Sus scrofa: one gene and its partner. The protein of the gene in region 2 purifies or fractionates together with the protein of the main gene of each other region. This does not show direct contact. Links are inferred from orthologs where the notes say so. Each region holds a gene or a part of one and is shown on either strand. Other genes may lie near its edges.

Evidence for each region.
Region 1: the proteins of NFKBIB (region 2) and POLR1E purify together in Homo sapiens (affinity purification with mass spectrometry; 3 studies listed by BioGRID and IntAct, counting the BioPlex papers as one, with this or other methods). This does not show direct contact. The link is inferred for Sus scrofa from reciprocal best matches to the Homo sapiens genes NFKBIB and POLR1E.

What each region holds. Positions count from the first base shown.
Region 1 is NC_010443.5:238,211,059-238,214,707, reverse strand, and holds part of POLR1E (DNA-directed RNA polymerase I subunit RPA49), read right to left. Parts: coding exon 3,572-3,649; intron 2,651-3,571; coding exon 2,554-2,650; intron 230-2,553; coding exon 96-229; intron 1-95. UniProt on the Homo sapiens protein: Component of RNA polymerase I (Pol I), a DNA-dependent RNA polymerase which synthesizes ribosomal RNA precursors using the four ribonucleoside triphosphates as substrates.
Region 2 is NC_010448.4:47,702,483-47,706,575, reverse strand, and holds the start of NFKBIB (NF-kappa-B inhibitor beta), read right to left. Parts: upstream 2,933-4,093; 5' UTR 2,836-2,932; coding exon 2,657-2,835; intron 1-2,656. Other genes in the region: SIRT2 (NAD-dependent protein deacetylase sirtuin-2), read left to right, coding at 3,276-3,291. UniProt on the Homo sapiens protein: Inhibits NF-kappa-B by complexing with and trapping it in the cytoplasm.

The DNA.
Region 1 (3,649 bases), on a different chromosome or scaffold from region 2:
ATGTCCATTTTCTTCTCTCACTAGAGCTGATCTAAGAATTATAGACAAGTAACAGACTGGAAATAACTAGAATAAAAAGTCTATGTTGGACTTACTTTTCCGCTTAATCACTTTCTGTGCCCGAAACTTGATGAGGGTGTCCAGAAACCAGATGCACCGGGCCTGGCGGTCTCGGCTCTCCTGATTTGATGGCAAAGACTTCAGCGCTTCAATGACAAAGGAGCAGTGACTGCAACAAGGGAGGGAAAAGGAGAACACGTGAAACTGGCTCTGTCAGGAGCCATTTACTCCTTCGCAATGAAAACAGCAGGCACATCTCACACCTCGCGAGTATACACACACAGTCAGCAACTGAGCGAGGGCCATCCATCCCACCAGCTCCTTAGATGAGGAGGAGCATGATTCAGTGCAGGGACAGTAAAGGTCCAGATAGTAGGTACTTTACATTTTGGGGGCGATATGGTCACCCCCACCGTAGTACAAAGGCAGCCATCGGTAACACATAAATGAATGACTGAGGCTGTTTCCATTAAAACTGCACTGGTGGTGGGCCGTCATCTTTCCAATCTGCATGTGGCAGTCTGGAGCACTGGCTCTCAACTACTTGGGTGACTCCTGAATCCCTCCTCCGCCATGCAGTGCCTTGAGCAAGTTTCTGAACATCTCGGTGCCTTGGTTTCTTCTGTAACTTAAGGCCAATGATAGTACCCTCATCCCGTGGATTTTTGTGGATTAAATTAAACAATGCTTGGCACACATAAGAGCTCAGTTGATGCTGGCTATTATTTTTATGTACTGTTCTACCACTATCAGGATCTTGGACTCACAGCAAAAAAAGGCCCTTCAAATCATCTCATGGGAGTTCCCGCTGTGGCTCAGTGGTAAGGAATCTGACTAGTATCCATGAGGATGCAAGTTTGATCCCTGGCCTTGCTCGGTGGGTTAAGGATCTGGCACTGCTGTGGCTGTGGCTGCCAGCTGCAGCTCCAATACAACCCCTATCCCGGGAAGTTCCATGTGCCTTGGGTGCGGCCCTAAACAAAACTAAAAAAAAATATGGTGTTCCCGTCGTGGCTCAGCAGTTAAGGAACCCGACTAGCATCCATGAGGACGTGGGTTCAATCCCTGGCCTCGCTCAGTGGGTTAAGGATCCAGCGTTGCCGTGAGCTATGATGTAGGTTGCAGACTCGGCTGGGATCCCACATTGCTGTGGCATAGGCTGGAGCTACAGCTCTAATTTGACCCCTAGCCTGGAACCTCCATATGTTGTAGGTACAGCCCGAAAGAGACAAAAAAATTGCAAAAAAAAACAAAACAAAAACAAAACAAAAAAACTGTCTCATATCAGCCTCATTTTACAGAGAGGAAAACAGGCTCAGAGAGGGGAAGATCACCTAGTCCATCGGGCAGAGCTTGGGGATTCAGTTTCCCAGACTTCCAACCCAGAACTCTTTCCCTCACCTGCCCCTGTGCCTCAATCACATTAAGACAATAAAGAACCAGTAATGAGCTCTTGTTTGGCAATGGATCTTTGGAGAGAAGGAAAAAATGTATTTTTCTAGACTTTGGATTCACTGACCAAAATTCCCCAAAATCTGGGCAACCAATCTAGGGCTGACAACTTTTTATTTCCTCAAGATGAAATTACAGAAAGAAAATTTGAGTTAAAAAACCCGCCACTATCATCATAAAAGAAAAGCTAGGGGGAGGGGGGTTTGGCCATGCCCATGGCATGTAGAGGTTCCCAGGCCAGGGACTTAACCCGAGCCATAGCAGGGACAACGCCAAATCCTTAATTGCTAGGCCACCAAGGAACTCCCAAGAAAAGCTACTTTAAAGGCCAAAAATAGGGGAAGGAAAGGAAATAATCTCTGAATTATTTAAAATACACTATTTTTTTTTTTTTTTTTTTTTGGTCTTTTTTGCTATTTCTTGGGCCGCTCCAGTGGCATATGGAGGTTTCCAGGCTAGGGGTCTAATCGGAGCTGTAGCCACTGGCCTACGCCAGAGCCACAGCAACGTGGGATCCGAGCCGCGTCTGCAACCTACACCACAGCTCACGGCAATGCCGGATCCTAACCCACTGAGCAAGGGCAGGGACCGAACCCACAACCTCATGGTTCCTAGTCGGATTCGTTAACCACTGCGCCATGACGGGAACTCCTAAAATACACTAATTTAACTTTAGAAAAGCTCACGCAACACATCACCACAGATGTACCATCCCTTCTGCAGGCACCTATTCCCAAGCCAGCACCTGGGCCTCTCCTGTAACAATTTGCATCAGCATGACACTAGGGGAGGGACACAGGTCAGCTCCAGTACCCAGACCCAGGCTACAAGCCTTACCACCCTCTGCCCAGCCACACCGAAGCAGCTCACCCCTTGAACACCGACAATAGGCCCGGAAGCCCAAACATTCAAGCTCGTTTGTGTTCAAATGCTGAACAGGCATACATCCTTACTGACCGACACCCAAGGTCCGCTTCATGTCTGACTACTGTTGTGTCCCAAGATCACTCCCCAGACACTCCAGCCACCCAAGTGGGGTACCTGTTCTCTTCGATCATCTTCAGTATTTGTTCTGATGTGACGTTCCTGAAAGCTTCAGACGGGCTCTGAAGAGCGTCATACTCCGCAGGGGAAAGAACCAGTTATAGGTCAAGAAAACAACCTGACCGAGATGGAAACATCCAACTAGCTAGATCATCTTGTAGTGGCCTATTTAGAAATTGGCGAACATGGGGAGTTCCCGTCGTGGCAAAGTGGTTAATGAATCCGACTAGGAGCCATGAAGTTGCGGGTTCAATCCCTGCCCTTGCTCAGTGGGTTAAGGATCTGGCGTTGCCATGAGCTGTGGTGTAGGTCGTACACACGGCTCGGATCCCGTGTTGCTGTGGCTCTGGTGTAGGCCGGCGGGCTGCAGCTCCAATTAGACCCCTAGCCTGGGAACCTCCATATGCCGAGGGGGCAGTCCTAGAAAAGGCAAAAGACAAAAAAAAAAAAAAAAAAAAAAAAAGAAAGAAAGAAAAGAAATTGGCAAACTGAGGCTCAGAGAGGGAACGATCACACCGTATATCTGGGCAGAGCTCAGGGACTCAGTGCTCCCTAATACTCATTCCCTGTCTGGGCTTTTCTGCCTTCTCTTATCACAGATCCACTGCGGGCATTTTCCATCCAACTACAACCACAAGTGTGGAAACTCTACGTTCCAACCCTTCTATTTACAAAACCAGTCTGCCCCGGACTTTCAGCACTGGCCAACTTAAAAGTTGTATTTTGACTCCTCACAGAAAATGACCTTCCCACAGAGCTGAGCTGGGGGCATTCTGCTTTGTGCTGAGGGATGGGTTTGAATCTCAAAGGCTAAGTAAGAGGTTGGTGCTACAGCAGATCCTTCAGCTGGTGAGGACGTCCCAGCAACGGCACTGGGGCAACCACAAGGGTTTGGGGATAGCTTCCGGGAGCATTGCAGGACCATGGACACCCTCAGAGAGTCCAGCCATGCCACTCCTCTGTGCAGATCCCCACTTGGAAACGAGGCGGCACTTTTCCCCCGCAAGAAGGATACGGTCTTCAAATTTATACACGTCTTCAGGCTTGGCTGCGTCGGCATGGCAGGGAGGGAGGTAGAGAGAGTCATCTTGCA
Region 2 (4,093 bases):
CTCACAGCCATGCAAAAGCAGGTAGCTGGCTGGACTTTGTCTGGAAACCAGTTTGCCAACTATTGGTCTTTCAGAGCAACCACGAAAATAAAAAACAAAGAGTTAGAGCTAATAAGCCAACAAAAGAAACACAATGGAACAAAATTTGCTCATTCTAAAAGGCAGAAAAAGAGGAAAAAGGTAAAAGAGATAAGCAAAAAAGCTAAAAACAAGATAAACATAACCATTTCAATAATTAAGTTAAATGCAAACAGTCTAAACACTGCAATTAAAAGACAGAAACTGTCAGAATGAATAAAAAAGTAAACCTCGAGTTCTCTTGTGGTGCAGCAGATTCAGGATCCAGCACTGTCATTGTGCCACACTGCTGTGGCTCGAGTTGAGTTGCTGGCTCGGGAACTTCCACAGGCACAGCCAAAAAAAAAAAAAAAAAAGCAAAACCCACTATATGCTGCCTGTAACACTCTTGAAATATAAATTTTAAAATAGGTTAAAATTAAAGGGTATAAAAAGATATTCCATGGTAACACCAGTCATTCAAAAGAAAACAGAAGTAAGTATTTTAATATCAGAGTAGATTTCAGAGCAAGAAGCATTACCAGGGCTAGAGAAGGTTATTTCATAACGACAAAGAGGTCAGTGAAACAAGAGGACTTAATAATCCTAAATATTTGTGCCCCTAATAATAGAGCATCAAATTACACAAAGCAAAATCTGATAGCACAACAAGGAAAGCCACGAATCCACAATTATTGTTGAAGATTTCAATACCCGGCTCTCAATAATTGACAGAACAAGTAGAAATCTAGACTTGAGCAACAAAAGAACCAGGGAAACACTGACACTCGGAGAACACTACACCCAACCAGAGCAGAATACACATTCTTTCAAATGCACACATTATATTCTTGGCCCTAAAACAAGTCTCAAAAAGTCTGAAAGGATTCAAGTCATGCTAGGCTCTCCATCCCCAACAGAATTAAACTAAAAGCCAATGAAAGAAAGATGCCTGTGATATGGAAACTGAATAACATACTTCTGAAGAATCCGATGACCAAAGAAGAAATCAAAAAAGAAATTAGAAAGTATATTGCATTAAATAAAAACACTACACATCATGGAATTCCTGTTGTGACTCAGTGGTTAACGAACACAACCAGTATCCATGAGGATGTGGTCAATCCCTGGCCCGGATCACTGGGTTAAAGATCTGGCACTGCCATAAGCTGTGGTCTAAGTCGCACATAGGGCTCAGATCCCACATTGCGGTGGCTGCGGTGTAGGCCGGCAGCTGCATCTTCGATTTGACCCCAGCCTGGGAACTTCCGTATGTCGCAGGTAGGCCTTAAAAGCAAAACAAAACAAAATGACAAAAAACGACACAGCACATCAGAATTGGTGAGATACTGCTAAAGCACTACTCCGGGAAATTTACAGCATGAATCACTTATATGCGTAAAAAAAAAAAAAAAAAAGAGTCTCAAATCAATGACCTCAGCTTCCATCTTAAAAAACGAGAAAAAGAAGAAATTAAACCCCAAATAAGAGAAGAAAGTAAATAAGTCAGAACAGAGATCAACAAAATAGAAAGCAAAAAGAGAGAAAAAGAGAAAATAAATGAAACCACAGCTGGTTGTTTGAGAAGATCACTGTTTCCTGAGTGCCTCCTATGGGTCAGGGGCTGCTGGGTCACTGGGGATACAGCGGTAAACACGATACTCAAAAACCCCAGGTACATTCCCTCAATTGGGCCTTTACAACTGTTTTTCCCTCTATGTGCAATGTTCTCCCCAGATAATCTACTTGTCTCACTTCCCTGCTTTATTTTTCTCCAAAGAACTTCTTAACGTCTGACATGCTATTTTTCTTTTTTTTTTTAATTTTTGTCTTCGTTTCTTCCTGCCTTTCTTCTTTCTCTCCCTTTCTTACTTTAGGTCTGTGTATCTTTTTTTCTCTTTCCTTCTCTCTCCTTTTCTTTCCTTTTTCTTCCTCCTACCCTTCCTCCCTCCCTGTCAGTCTATCTGCCCTTCTGTCTATATACCCCCACTAGAATGTATGCTCCACAAGACAAATGTTTTTTGGGCTTTCCTCCCTGCCTTTAGGCCACACCTAAAACAGTTCCTGGAAAGTCGAAGGTGTTGGATTATTTGTTTAATAGATGAATTCCTGCTGTTATGTAGTTTCCATTTTCTCTTTGAATGTAAGCTTTGAAGATCAGAGTTCAGAAGGTGGGATCCTGGAGTCAAAAGCCAAGTATTAATTTCGAAATAAAATCTAAGGCTCATGTAAGTTAGGCGCTGAGGACCAAAGATCATATTTGGAGGATAAAGGTCAGGAGGAGCCTGTCTGAACTACAGTTCTAACAGAGGGCTAAGGACTGGGGTCAGGAAGGTCAAATCGAGTTTTGGATGTGGAATCGATCACTGAATGTGGGTCTGATCAATGAACGCATAACTCTGAGAATCAGTTCAAGAAAGGAAGGCCAGACATTATTGGGTTAGGATCAAAATTAGATAAGAAGTTGGTTTTATCAGAGGCCAGTCTTGGGGTCAGGAAGTCAAGCATCAAAAGACAGATTTAGGATTGAAAGGTTGGGAAGTCAGGATTGGAGATGTGGGACCCTGGGGCCCGATTTGTCAGTCTAAGGTTCACTCACGTGTCGCCATCCTCAGTGACGTAGCCGAAGACGAGGGGCGCCCACGATAGTCCCGGACCCAGCTCCGCGCCTAGGCCTGGTCCTCCGGGGGCCGCTGCGTCCGGACCCAGAGAGCCCAAGCCGCTGTCGCACCATTCATCGGTGTCCGCAGCTTTCCCCAAGCACGCAACCCCAGCCATGGCCCCCGAAGCCTCAGGGGCCCCCAGCGGCAGCCCGCCTGTCGCTGGGCTCTGCCTGGAATTCTCGAGCTTCCGCCCTGCGGGGAATTCCCCAACACGCCCCCCTGACTCATCCAATCAGGGTGGGCTAAGTAGTACACGCCCCGCCCCCATGCCACATGATGACCAATCAGAGCACTCAGGTGGACTACGGCGTTCTACCTTTTCCCACACTTTCCCGGAGTCCTTTACCAGCATGGCTGTGGACGTGGAGCCCTCTGGGACTCGTAGTCCGGCCTTTGCGTGGGGGCGCGCTCCGTACGCGGTGCAGAGCATTATATGCGATCGCGATGGCTGCTGGGAGTTGTAGTTCTCTGCCTTGTCTCGGCCCCCTCCTGTTTCCGGTGCCGTCACGGGACAGAGCAGTCGGTGACAGTCCCGAGGGCCCCCGCCCCGCGCCCATGGCCGAGCCGGATCGTGAGTCGGGGACCCCGGTGGGAGGGCAGGGCTGCACCGGGGCCTAGCTGAGGGTCGTAGGCCCCGGGGCCCGAGGGCAGGCTTGGTGGGGCAGGAGATGGGGGTTGCATGGGGGGGAAAATGGGATTCCGGGGGCAGTTGCCAAGTGATCCATATTGCTAGATTGGTGGCTTTCTGGGTCGCTAGGTTTTAAGGGTCCGTTTGCCACTTCCCCCAAGTTACTAATGATCACATGTTTCTCGCACCTTAGTTGCCAAGGACCCTCGTTGCTAGGGACTTAAGATGCCGCGGTCCTGGTTGCTAAGGGTACCTGGTTGTTAGTAGCAACTGTAGGATGCCAGGGTCCCCTCCTATTGCTTCCTTTTTCTCCGAAACCAACCCCACCCTGCCCGACACACACACACACACACACCACACACACACACACACTCTGCACCTCTTCTCCCAAACCTGCCAACAGGCAGAGTATGTCTTCTCTCCTTTCTATGGCTTCCCACTGCTTGTAAACCTAATGACACACACTCTCACACTACTACACCCTTCCTAACTCCTCCTAAGTCTTCCTCCATGCCGGGCGTGCTTTACTTTCTCTTCCCTCGCCTAAACCTTCCTGTCCCGGCCTCTTTGTCCCTCGCTAACCTCTCCTCCCAGCCGTCTGCACACTGATAAGGTCCGCTTTTCCCCATTGCCGCCCTCCTCCACTTCCATTTTACACCCCCACCCCACCCGGTATGACCAGGTTGGTGAGTTTTCTTGATCCCTCTGCCCCACTAATTTGAAGCCCTTCCTTCCCCCTTAACCA